Canis lupus familiaris: one gene and its partner. The protein of the gene in region 1 interacts with the protein of each later gene in a biochemical or structural test. Links are inferred from orthologs where the notes say so. Each region holds a gene or a part of one and is shown on either strand. Other genes may lie near its edges.

Region 1 (6,211 bases):
TTTTGGCTGAACTAGTTACTAGATTTGAAGACCCAGTGTTAAATCTTATCATACCCTCCGATCAGGCTCAATTTACCCTGCAGGAATTGTGGAAGCACAGTTAAAAGTTCCTGGTAAGACCCAACTAAGTAGCCTCAGGGACTGGTACCAGGATTTTATTTTACATCAATTTCTTTTGTAGCTTCACAGATGTCGTGATCCTCCCAGCGCACCCTCTATCCATTCTTTCACACCAAGCCAAGGAAGGTTCCAGGCAATTTACAGTTCTTCTTTTTAATATTTTTTAAGAAAAGCACTCTCCTAGGACAAGTTTGCAATGCCCAAGATAGATCAAATAACCCTTTCGAAAAAATAAAAAACAAGACATTTTAAAAAAATTTAGCATCCTGCTTTTGAAAGTAGACAAAGTTTAATATGCATTCAGACATTTTAAGTCATATTTTTAAATTATTAAAATTAGAATAAAATGCAAAAAGGATGGGGAACCACATATGAAAAGATAGTATTCTCTCCAGTGATCTTTTAAAATACAGAAAGTCACAAAAACATGCAGAATAAAATTGCAAAACATACAATTTTCTTTCTAAAGTGCACAGTATTACGTCATTTCAAACGGTTATAAAAAATAACTTACCTGCTTGTGCATTTCTATATTCAACCCATAGGACATCTCATAATACTGTCAAAGAAGGGAAAGCAATTAATTACGTGCCTTTCATCAGTCTCCCTAGTTTGTTCCAAATGCCCCAAAAGTATGTTTAAAGCAAACATAAAAGCCTCACCTAAAGCAAAATATCCATAATACCTATGCCGCTAAGGAGGAACACTTAGCTTAATAAACCAGCAGCTACCCTAAGACACAGAGTCTAAGAGAATAACTCACAAAACTAAGAAAATCAAGTTCACATGTAGCATTCTTAACATCTCCAGTTGTCTTTATACATCACAAGCAGATGAATCAAAAAGATCTGATGAAAATTTAGTACCATATGGATTCTAATTCCTAGGCACAGTGGACAAGCTTAATGACAAGCATCTTATACAAATACTGATGCTCTGAGAGATCTGTTCAGAAAGGTGGTGCTACTTCAGAGTTCCGTTTCTCATTTTTAGTGTAGCGCTCATGTTCATACATTGAAAGGAAAAAAGTCTTGATAGGAAATGAATGAGTTACTCTGGAGCCTTTATGAACAAGCATAAAAACATGCTTCGTAAGACTTCTGAAAAAGCAGATCTGATTTTTTTTTTTTTTAGGATGTGTAGTGTAACTGTCATTACAGAAATTCTGGCAGAACAAATCAGTTATACAGGAGACCGACAACACTCCTCAAACCAATGTAACACCACAGAAACTGAAAACACACAAAGCACATGCAAATACACACACACACTAGGAACATAAAAAGCAGAAAAATTTGAAACAGTGTCTGGTGTCTTTTGATAGCCATCATTCTCTAAAAGAAATGAAACACTACAATTTTCACTGTATACAGAAAAATTGGTTAAGATTGTTTGGAAAAAGGGCAATGAAACAACAAAGAAAACCACTAACGCAAAAACATTTTGCTTGTGACTAAACAAAACATAAACGAGGTTGGTCTCTTCCCCCCCCCAATCTCTAAAAACAAAGCACAGAGGATTATACCCCACGCAGCTGAACTTTTCGAAAATTCAAATCAAAGCTGGTTGTCAGAGGCAAGTTATAACATCCTAGAATTACGAGGTTGCTAATGATCACATTCCCACAACCTCAACTACACTGGCACTGTGACTGCGATCTATCCTGCAGCCTCCAGCAATCTGAACATATTCCTGCTTTTGGTATCCTAAACTAATAGGCACTTTGAATCTGTGACACAGTTTTCTTACCATGACATAATGCCGCTGCATCTCGGTCTTCTCACTGGCGAGTTTCTCACATTCCAGCTTCAGGCTGTTCAAGACATAATGAAATCTAAGTATAATGCAGACCTTGACTTACATTCTTCAAATGTAAATACACATTCCCTCCCCTAAATCATCACCTACGAAAAGACCAAATCAACTGTCTTAAATAGCACCCTCATTATTGAAGGAGAGGTGGGAGAGAAAGGGGTGATTGGAACCAGCCTGGACTTGCCCTTTCAATGAGGATCAAATGTGGGGTTTTTGTTTAAGGGGAAAAAAAACCTCTAGCCAATTTAATTCTGGACCCACATCCAGAAATGAACATTTGCTAAATTCATTTAATGAAACCAGGGGAAAAAACAAACAAACAAACAAACAACAACAATGTCTACATACCTAAGCACAAATTTAGGTCCCCCAAAATGTGACAATGGAGTTTTTTTTCTTTAACGTTTGGGGAAGACATTAACGAAAATATGAATCAAGCGTGTCTTATGAATGATGTCTTATTTGTTCCCTCCAAAACAGAGGCAAGTTGAATACCACCACCCAGGGGCAAAGTGTGGATCGGGTTCAGTGGCTCGTTTTGGCTCTTGAATTTAAGAAATAAAAATTACACGTCGTTAAAAAGCCAGCAAAGAAAAATATTTCGAAGGCACTCTTAACGATCGCCTCTAAGAAGAAAACATTTTTTTTCCAGCATAAAAGTAATGAAATCTCTCGCTGGCGACTTCCCAGGGCTCTCCGTTCATGGTATTTCAGTGGAATGGCAGAAAAAAAAGTGAGACGGAATCAAGCCCGGAGTAATAAAGAACCAAGGGAAGTCAAAGGGCCCCAGAATCTTCCCAACCTTCCATTCTCCTGGTCCCAATAAATCAATATCGAAAGTTTGGCCTCAGCATTTTCTAAGTCTCCCCAGTTTCGATTGTTCTGCCTCCTTTTTTATTTATTTACAGGAGAAGGGAGGAATGCTTAATTTCTTTACACCTGCCCGAGGAAAAGAGGCCTTGACTTGCCCTTTCTGCCCACAAGTAAAAATAATATCACCTTTGTGGCGGCCTAAAAAACTGGGGGTGGGGGGTGGGGGGGAGGAGACGAGAGCTAAGCAAACAGGAGGATCAGCTAGAGTCAATATCGTTACCTGTGGTACTGAGCCTGTAAAAACTGAAACTCTTCCTTAATCCGATCACAGGACTCGGAAATTGTGAATTTAAAGGGTTGAGCAGGCTGATGCGGTGCCTAAAGAACAACAATAAAATATTTAATTAGCCCACATCGCAGGCGAGGCAGGGAGATGGAGAAAACACACCACGCGGCGCCGGGGGGCGGGGGGGTCACCGCGCAGGCAGGCAAAGAGCGATTAAAACTCAGGTAGCGCCCCCCCCCCCCCCCCCCCGCCTCGCCGCGCAGCCCGGCAGCGGCTGGCCCCGGGCCCCCGCGTCCTGCGGCCCAGCCCGGACCCCGCGGGTTCGAGACCGCGCGCCGCGCCCACTCCCTCCCCACCCGGAATCGAAACTGGCCCGTCGGGGGGACTCGCGCCATGGCGTCCGGCCGCGGTCAGGTCGGGGACGCGCGGCCGCCACCCTGCGAGGCCGGCGGGCGGGCTCGCTCGCGCGTCCCCGGGGCCCGCGGCGCGAGGGGCCGGCGCCCCGCACTCCCGGAGCCGCGGCCGGACCCGCCGCGCCGCCGCCGAGGGCGCCCTCCCCGCCCCGGCGCGGAGTCGCGCCTCCTCCATCGCTCGCCCCCCCGCCCCCCGCCCCCCGCTCGGGGAGTCGCGGCGCGGGGCCGGCGAACGGCTCGGCGCGGCTTCCCGGGGCTTCAAAGACAACAATAAGAAAATGGCTACAACTCAATTGCCTCTCGACGCCCCCCCAGAGTGCCGCCGCGCCGGGTGCGGGGGACAACTCGGCGCGCGGGGGGCGACGCGGGGAGTCCCCGCGCCCGGCGAGCTCGCGCCCCGCCGCCCGCACTCACCGGGTGTCTGGTCTGCGGGTACATCTTGCTCAGGTCGCGAATCATCCAAACCGCTTTAGTTGGCTGCGCTGGGCAGAGGCGCGCGGCTCATTGGCTTTAAGGGCCCCGAGGAGGCGGCGGCGGCGGCGGCGGAGGCGGCGGCGGCGGAGGCGGCCGGCCGGGTCCGAGGGGCGGCTCGGGCGGTCCCGGCCCCCGCCGGGTCTCGCGTGACGCGGGCGGCAGGAACGCGCGGCGGCGGCGGCGGCGGCGGCGGCGGCTGGGTGCGGGCGGCCGGGCCGCTCGGCATTCCTCGCGGGCGTCACTGGCCCGCCGCGGGCATTGTCCGGCGCGCCTCTCCCGCGGCAACGCTCCGCCGTTCGCTCCGCCGAGGCGCGCCCGCCGAGCCCAGCGCCGCCGCCGCCGCCGCCGCCGCCGCCGCGCCGCTCCCCCGGGCCGGGAAAGTGCGAGCTCCGCGCACCAGCGCCCGCCGGCAGCGCCGCCCGCCCGCTCGCTCGTCCCACTCCAAACTTTTTTTTATTTGTCTTTTAATTGGTTGTTATTCCTCCGAATGAATGATCTCTCTCTTCTTTCCTAAAAGCAAACACAAACTCCTTTGGTTCGGAAGAGGTCTCGGCGGTGCTTTTTGGTTTCTCTGGAGATTTTTTCACTTCACAGCAACGATCTTTTAAAAGGCACCTTTTAGCTTCTTTTACCACATCTCATTTCCTTATTTTTCTTCCTTCCTGTTTTCTTGTCTTTTTTTTTTTTAACCCCAAATTGAAGGGGATTATAAAAATAAAAGAGTGAAACGCTTGCGGCTTTTTTTTTTTTAATTCTCTCTCCTTTCAAACTCTGCGAACACCACCTCAAAATAATATACAAGTGTGTGAGAGAGGGGGAAGAAAGCAGCCAACAGCCCAAACACCCGCTCAGAACAGCTCTAACAACACGCTCTGTGTAGGTGACTTCTTTGACCAAATTTAGCAGCAGCTAATCATTAACATTCTGATACATATTCACAACCGTCCGTGGAGGGACCGCGGAGCATCCCGGGAGATGTAGTCCACCCCAAGCGACCGCGGTCCAGGATTCGGCCAGATTGACTACAATCTCCGGCCCGCCACGCGACCGCTCTGGGGCGCTCTCCAAGCGCCCCGCCCACCCCCGCCGCGGGAGGCGTCTCCGGCAGCCAATCAGAGGCGGCTGAACATTAATCGCCGTTCTGTGTTACTGCCCATCATTTCACTGCTGACAAATGGCGAGCCAGGGGGGCGGAGCCGGCCGGGCTGGAGCCCACGTGGGGGCCGGGCGTCGTCCGCGGTTCGGACCAATGAACGGAACGGGATGGGGTTAGCGGAGGCGGAGCGGAGATGGCCCGCCCAAGGCGGAGCTTCGTCTTCGCCGACGTTCCTTAGCGCGAGCGTTCGAACCGGGGAAACATTTGTTCAGCTGTCAATCAAAGTAACGTGGGCCTGGGAGAAGCGGCGGCGGCGGCTGGTGGTGGTGGTGCTGCTGCTGCTGCTGCCGCCGCCGCCGCCACCGCCGCCGCCGCCGCCGCCGCTGCCCTGGCTGCATCCTCAGAACTGGGTGTTGGTGGCGGTCCGTGGTGGCGGCAAAATAAAGAGGGTGGAGGGGGCGGTAAGACTCGACGCTGGTCAGAAGGTCCTCTTCCGAGTCTCGTCTTCCCAGCCGCCCCCCGCTCCAACCCAAACACCCTCAGCCCCTTGCTCCTCGGCCGCGCCAGGAATGCGGACTAATTAGGGTCCAATGTCTCCTTAAAGAGACAAGCTCGGCCTTGTGTAACGCGCCGAAACCCCTGTTGAGACCAGAGAGGGAGGATCACGCCGATCCCACTCCGTTCGGTTCACATCAATTTTACGCGCCGCTGGAGCCGGCATAATTTTCCGTGTGAACGCAGACTCGGGCCCCTGTTCTTGTTTAGAGCGGGAGGCTGAGCTGCGAGACGCTCACCCGGGCAGGGAGCCCGGGGCGCGGGCGGGAGGGCGCCCCTCCGAACCCCGAGGGGGCTGTGATTGCCGTTTAGCCCGGACGCGGGGCCGGGTTCCCCGAGCAGCTGTGCGGGGAAGCACCCCAAGTCGCGCGGCTCGCGGGCCCCGGGGCGGAACCGCCGAGTCCCGAGGTGGGGCTGGAGGCCCGGGGGCAAGGGTCGCCCTCTTCCCAAGGAAACTTTGTGGAGGGGGTGCCCGCACCGCGCCCTAGGGCAGCGTCCACGAGGTACCAGTCGCAGACACGGGACAGGAAGCGCCCACGCGCCCCTGGGATGCTCCTTCCCCCCGGACCAGACGGGAGAAGACTGCCCCTTTTTTCCCTGTTCTTTCAAGTCAAGCCTGAACCGGGCCGGGCCTCGCGG
Region 2 (5,437 bases), on another chromosome or scaffold:
TTTTTTTTTGGTCACCGAAGAATTTGATGGGCACACTCCGAGTGACAGATTATAGAGAGTGTGCTGTGTGTGGTGGCCGTGGTTTTCAGAGGCTGCATGACAAGGCAGGCAGAGTCCCTGGGGCAGGCAGAGACCCCGTCATCTCGGGAAGGTGGCGGTTTGCCAGGAGTGTGGGCTTCAGTCCACAGAGCTCGAGGCTCAGGAGGGGCTCGAGAGGCACAGCCTGGTGGCATGTGAGGCCCATTTAAATCCACCCAGAAAGCCTGGCTCTTGTCTTCTTTCACTGGAGCCTGGCTGGGAGGTTCAGGCCGTTTGGAATTGGGTGGTATGTTACACAGTAATAAACACTCAGAGGATTTTAATCCGCAGCACGTGCTCTTTATGTTTTGCAGAGCTTTTCCTTAACCATTCTGCGTCTCTGCCCGCGTCCTGGGAGGCAGGCTGGGCAAACGTCCTCCCCTTATACAAATGGGGTATCAGAGGCCCAGAGAGGCTAAGTGATTTGGCCAAGGTCACACAGCTCATTAGTGTCAGAGACCCTGACTGACACACCCAGCTCCTTACTCCAGCTTTTACTCGGTGTTTTGCACCGAACTACACGGTGTGTTGGCGGCCGCCGTCTGTCTGTTGTGTGGAAGCCAAAATGCTGCATGGCTATTTTGCTGAGATGAAAGAGCGGTTCTTCAGTCTGATTCCTCACTTTACGCAGTTGCCAAATGGGGTCTCCCCTGGGGTGTCAGGGTTGCCTTCTAAGGGCCTGGCTGATGTGTCAGTCAAAAGGCAGACAGAGAGGTCCCTTGTCAAGCCACGGCCTGGGCCTGCCGTGGTTGGTGCTGCTCAGGTGAGATGGGTGGAGAGCCCTGGGTGCTGCCACCGCCCGCCAGACAAGGGGGGCGGGCGCTGTGGGGGATGCTCTCCCAGCTGCTGTGCCAACACCGCATTCCCATTCCACTCCTACGTTTTGAGTACTCGGCACAAGATTGTCTGTGTGTCTGTAACCTCCACCCCAGACAGTGCCCGTCCTCACAGGCCCTCGGTGGCTAGTGAGTGAGTGAGTGAATGAATGCAAAGATGCAGGTGAACTGCCTGGTGAACGGTAAAACTTTCTACAGTGGCCAGGGGTCATCATCATCATTATTGTTTTCATTTTCACAGTTTGCCCTAGTGTGAAGAGCACTGGATTCCGAATCAGATCTGAGAGCTGACTTCCTCTAACTTCCAGAAGGGAGTTGGGCAAGTCAGTTATTCTTCTAATCATCAGCTTCCCCTTCCATAAAACCCTGCTGGCCCCTTAGGATTGATGTGAGGATCCAGATAATTTGAGGAAGAGCTCTGTAAACTTTAGAGCACTGTGCCTAAAATAAGGAGTTACTGTGTTGATAGTAACAAATGACTTTTTATCATAAAATTGGAAGCTGCTGAAATTGCTGTGTGCCTTGATTGGGGTACCTTCCTAAACTTCTGGCAAAGTAAAAATTTCTTGGATAGTTCTTAAAGCCTGTTTGTCACTAATAATAGTGTTTCAGTAATTACAGAAAGAAGGAGGATAGGTTGGGTTTTGCCTTATGGTCTCTTCTCAGTGAAAAACAGAATTTCCACTTCTGTATTACTGTTCCCAAATTATTTCATCTGTTTCTAGACTATCCACTAACTTTGCCCTAACTGGATTTGCCCAAACTGAGAATTTCAGCATCTCTTTAAATGTAACTAGTCATTGTTCTTGGGTGACACTCCCCATTCTTCCCAGAGGAGAATCACCTCTTTCTCTTACCTATTATAAACTCTGCTAGGTTGAAAAATTACCAGTCATAGGGGTGCCTGTCTGGCTCAATTGGTAGAGTGTGTGACTCTTGATCTCGGGGCTGTGAGTTCCGGCCCCACGTTGGGTGCAGAGTTTACTTAAAAAAAAATTACCAGTCGTTTCTAAAATGTCTCCTTTGCTAGAAAAATTCTCAACAGCAAGATAATCTCCTTTGCAAGAGAAGTCAAGAATTCCTCTGTAAATGTTGAGAGACATCCAGCAAAGGCTCAGATTCAGAAAAGGAATCAAGTAATTTTTTTCCCCTGAAATGATCTTTCACGGCACTCTTCTCCCCGGTCTCGGTTTTACTGTAAAACCCTGACATCCTATTTGTGTTAACGAGGAAGAGCTGATAGCATGGAAATGTCCTTAGAAACAGCGATTTACCTCAGGGGAGGTCCCTGAAAGAGCTGCAGTGACTTGTGGTTGGCTTTTTTTGATTGCTTGGGTTTTTACTTATATGTAACACATATTTCCAGTTAATTCTGGAATGCAACACTCCTTTTAATTTTATACCAGGGTTGTCATATTAATCTTAAGGCAAAAAAGCATGCATTTTAGGGGACATTTTCACAGAATGCAGATGGAATTTGCTAGGGGATGTGAGTGCTGGTAAATTAAAGGTACAAGCCAACTTTCTGGGGAAATTTTAGCTCAGGAGGCTGGGCCTCCATCCTGGTTTGGCTAGTGGGTCTTGTGTGACCCTGGACAGGCTGTTTAACCTCTATGGATCTCTGTTTCATGCCTATGGATGGGGACCCATTCATTCATTTTTCATTCATTTGTTCAAAATATCTATGTGCTTTAGAACTGTTGTGCAGATCAAATGGGAAGGACTGACTTGAAAGTTTTCTGTAAACTGTAAAATGGTAGATAAATGTGATAGATTAATTAATTAATTAATGCATAGCATCTGGACCAACACTATCCTATAGAAATACAACGTGAGCCACATTTGAAATTTAAAATTTCCTGGTAACATTAAAAAAAGGGAAAAAACCAGGTACAATTAATTTTACATATTTTATTTAACCCAGTATGTGAAAAATGTGATTGCATCAGCATGTAACCAATATAAGAATTATTAATGAGATATTTTATGTTCTGTTTTTCTACTAAGTTTTGACAGTCTGGTGTGTATTTTACACTTATAGCACACCTCAATTCAAATAAGCCATATTGGGCAGCCTGGGGGGCTCAACGGTTTAGCGCCGACTTCAGCCCAGGGCGTGATCCTGGAGACACAGGATCGAGTCCCGTGTCGGGCTCTCTGCATGGAGCCTGCTTCTCCCTCTGCCTGTGTCTCTGCCTCTCTCTCTGTGTCTCTCATGAATAAATAAATAAAATCTTTAAAAAAATCAACAACAACAAATGAGCCATATTTCAAATGTTCAGAAGCCCCATATGGCTAGTGGATGCTGAATTGGACAGCACAGATCTGGATGTTTTCCGGACAGAGTAACTATTTTGTTGCAAATGTCCATTTTGCTTGTTCCTCTTGGCTAAGCTCCTTTCTCCTTGGGTCCTAGGTATTATGAGACGGGGAGCATCAAGCCTGGGGTAATTGGAGGATCCAAACCAAAGGTCGCCACGCCCAAAGTGGTGGAAAAAATCGCTGAGTATAAACGCCAAAATCCCACCATGTTTGCCTGGGAGATCAGGGACCGGCTGCTGGCGGAACGTGTGTGTGACAATGACACGGTGCCCAGCGTCAGTTCCATCAACAGGTGAGGGGTTGGTGCCTTGGGGGACTAGGGATCTGGGTGGAGTGGGGCATTCTGGAGGCTCTGTGGGTGCCTTTCCAAAAGATCTGGTCTCTCCATTCATCAAAGCCCCTAAAGGGTTGTATCAGACAGGAGGGGTGCTAATGGGGCTTGGTGGGTCTCTCTATTGCCATTCTTGTCTTTCCAAAGTGCACAGGAGTTCTAGGCCTGGGGAGGGAAGGCCATGTCAGTATCCAGGCTGCTTCAGATTCTTCTGATCCCAGAGTGATTTTTATCTCTCCCTTTACCACCTGCCTCTGTGTGGGGAGCACCTAGCTATGAATTGTCCCAATCAGGCCCTACAAATGTCACTTCCTTGTAAGCCCATGCTCAAAGTCTTAGCACTGGCCTATATCAGAGCTTCCCAGGAATAAAATCCCTGTCTTCAGTTTGGGCAGAGGTTGAGCCATGGAGTGGCTCGAAAATCGAGCCTGGACTTAAAGTTGGGAGATTTAGTTCTTTGTCCCAGCTCTGCCGGGAACTCCAAGTGTGGCCCTGACAAAGCTCCTCCTCTCTTTGAGAGCCCCACACCTTGGAGGTTCTGATGTGGGTCTGTGATCTCCAAAAGTGACATCCAGGACACTAAGATGCTGTGGAGTTAGGGGCTGCCCTCTACCCAGTTACCCTCAATCTCACCCACAGAGAGAAAGAACCAGAGAAATAGCATGAGTAGGTTCCATACCCAGGCATGGGATATTTCCGGGAGCCACATAGGCACCTTCTTCTCCACAATTTGATCTGGGATGTGTCTAAACGGGCTCTCAGAGCTTTAAAAAATTCCCGAGAAAAGGGGCACGTGGGTGGCTCAGAGGTTGAGCATTTGCTTTCAGCTCAGGTCGTGATCCCAGTGTCCTGGAATCGAGTCCTGCATCGGGCTCCCCACAGGGCACCTGCTTTTCCCCCTGCCTGTGTCTCTGCCTCTTTCTGTGTCTCTCAATAATAAATAAATAAATAAATAAATAAATAAATAAATAAATAAATAATAAATATTTTAAAAAGGAGGGGGAGAATTCCTGAAAGAAAGTTTTCTATTGTAGATGATGCAGTCTCAACTCCATCTAAACCCACAGAAGTCAAGGATGAAGTTGTGAGATAAACAGAAATGATTGTTGTCTAAACTCCACGTGAAAAAAAAAAAGAGAGAGAAGCCAGCAGACTGAAAACATAATCAGTTCCTATCTCTCCGAGGTCACACCTGCCCCTTGTCAGGACAGAGCCTGAATGGGCATAGGAGACCCCTGACCCCTGGCTGAAGGAGGTGGTTAGACTAGAAAGTCTCAGCGATCCCTTCCGGGCCCAGCGGTGGTTTCTTCTGCGTTGACTCAAATGCACAGAATCACTGTATGAGAGTGTGTGTTGACGTTCTGAGTCCTGCTGTTTCATTACCGTTAGCCTGTTTTCTTTCTCTCAGCAAATCTTTACCTTGGCCCAGACATCCTGCAAGGTGCTGAGAAGAGAGAGGGGAATTGGGGACACTGTCTCTTAGTCTCTGTTCTAGAGGGGCTTCCTTGTCTAGGATGGGAATCGGGTGCATATTAGAGGTCTGGTCAGCCCGAGTTAGCTGGGAAGGTAACAACTATTGTGGTAGGTTTTGGGCGGGGGGTGGAGGGATGCTCCTTTCTCTGGATTACGAGGGGCTCTGATGTGCTTCGTGAGTCTCCTACTTCTGGCTCATTGCAGGATTTCCATCATACAAAGCAACATGACTTTCCTCCCACATCTCCAAAAACCCTAACGTGGAGTGAGGCGTACAGTTCCTATAGCAATGAAGTGGCAGGAGCCTGCTCTGCAGAGGAAACCTCTGCCAAACCCATGGCCAGGCCTTGGGGGCCCACGGATTTCCCAGTGTAGGGCCTACATGTAATTGGTAGTT

The links.
Region 2: the proteins of TLE4 (region 1) and PAX5 form a complex in vitro, tested with the Homo sapiens proteins (2 studies listed by BioGRID). The link is inferred for Canis lupus familiaris from reciprocal best matches to the Homo sapiens genes TLE4 and PAX5.

Annotation. Positions count from the first base shown.
Region 1 is NC_049222.1:79,912,995-79,919,205, forward strand, and holds the start of TLE4 (transducin-like enhancer protein 4), read right to left. Parts: upstream 4,009-6,211; 5' UTR 3,907-4,008; coding exon 3,862-3,906; intron 3,127-3,861; coding exon 3,029-3,126; intron 1,934-3,028; coding exon 1,870-1,933; intron 680-1,869; coding exon 635-679; intron 1-634. UniProt on the Homo sapiens protein: Transcriptional corepressor that binds to a number of transcription factors. Inhibits the transcriptional activation mediated by PAX5, and by CTNNB1 and TCF family members in Wnt signaling.
Region 2 is NC_049232.1:53,702,479-53,707,915, reverse strand, and holds part of PAX5 (paired box protein Pax-5), read left to right. Parts: intron 1-3,330; coding exon 3,331-3,528; intron 3,529-5,437. UniProt on the Homo sapiens protein: Transcription factor that plays an essential role in commitment of lymphoid progenitors to the B-lymphocyte lineage. Fulfills a dual role by repressing B-lineage inappropriate genes and simultaneously activating B-lineage-specific genes.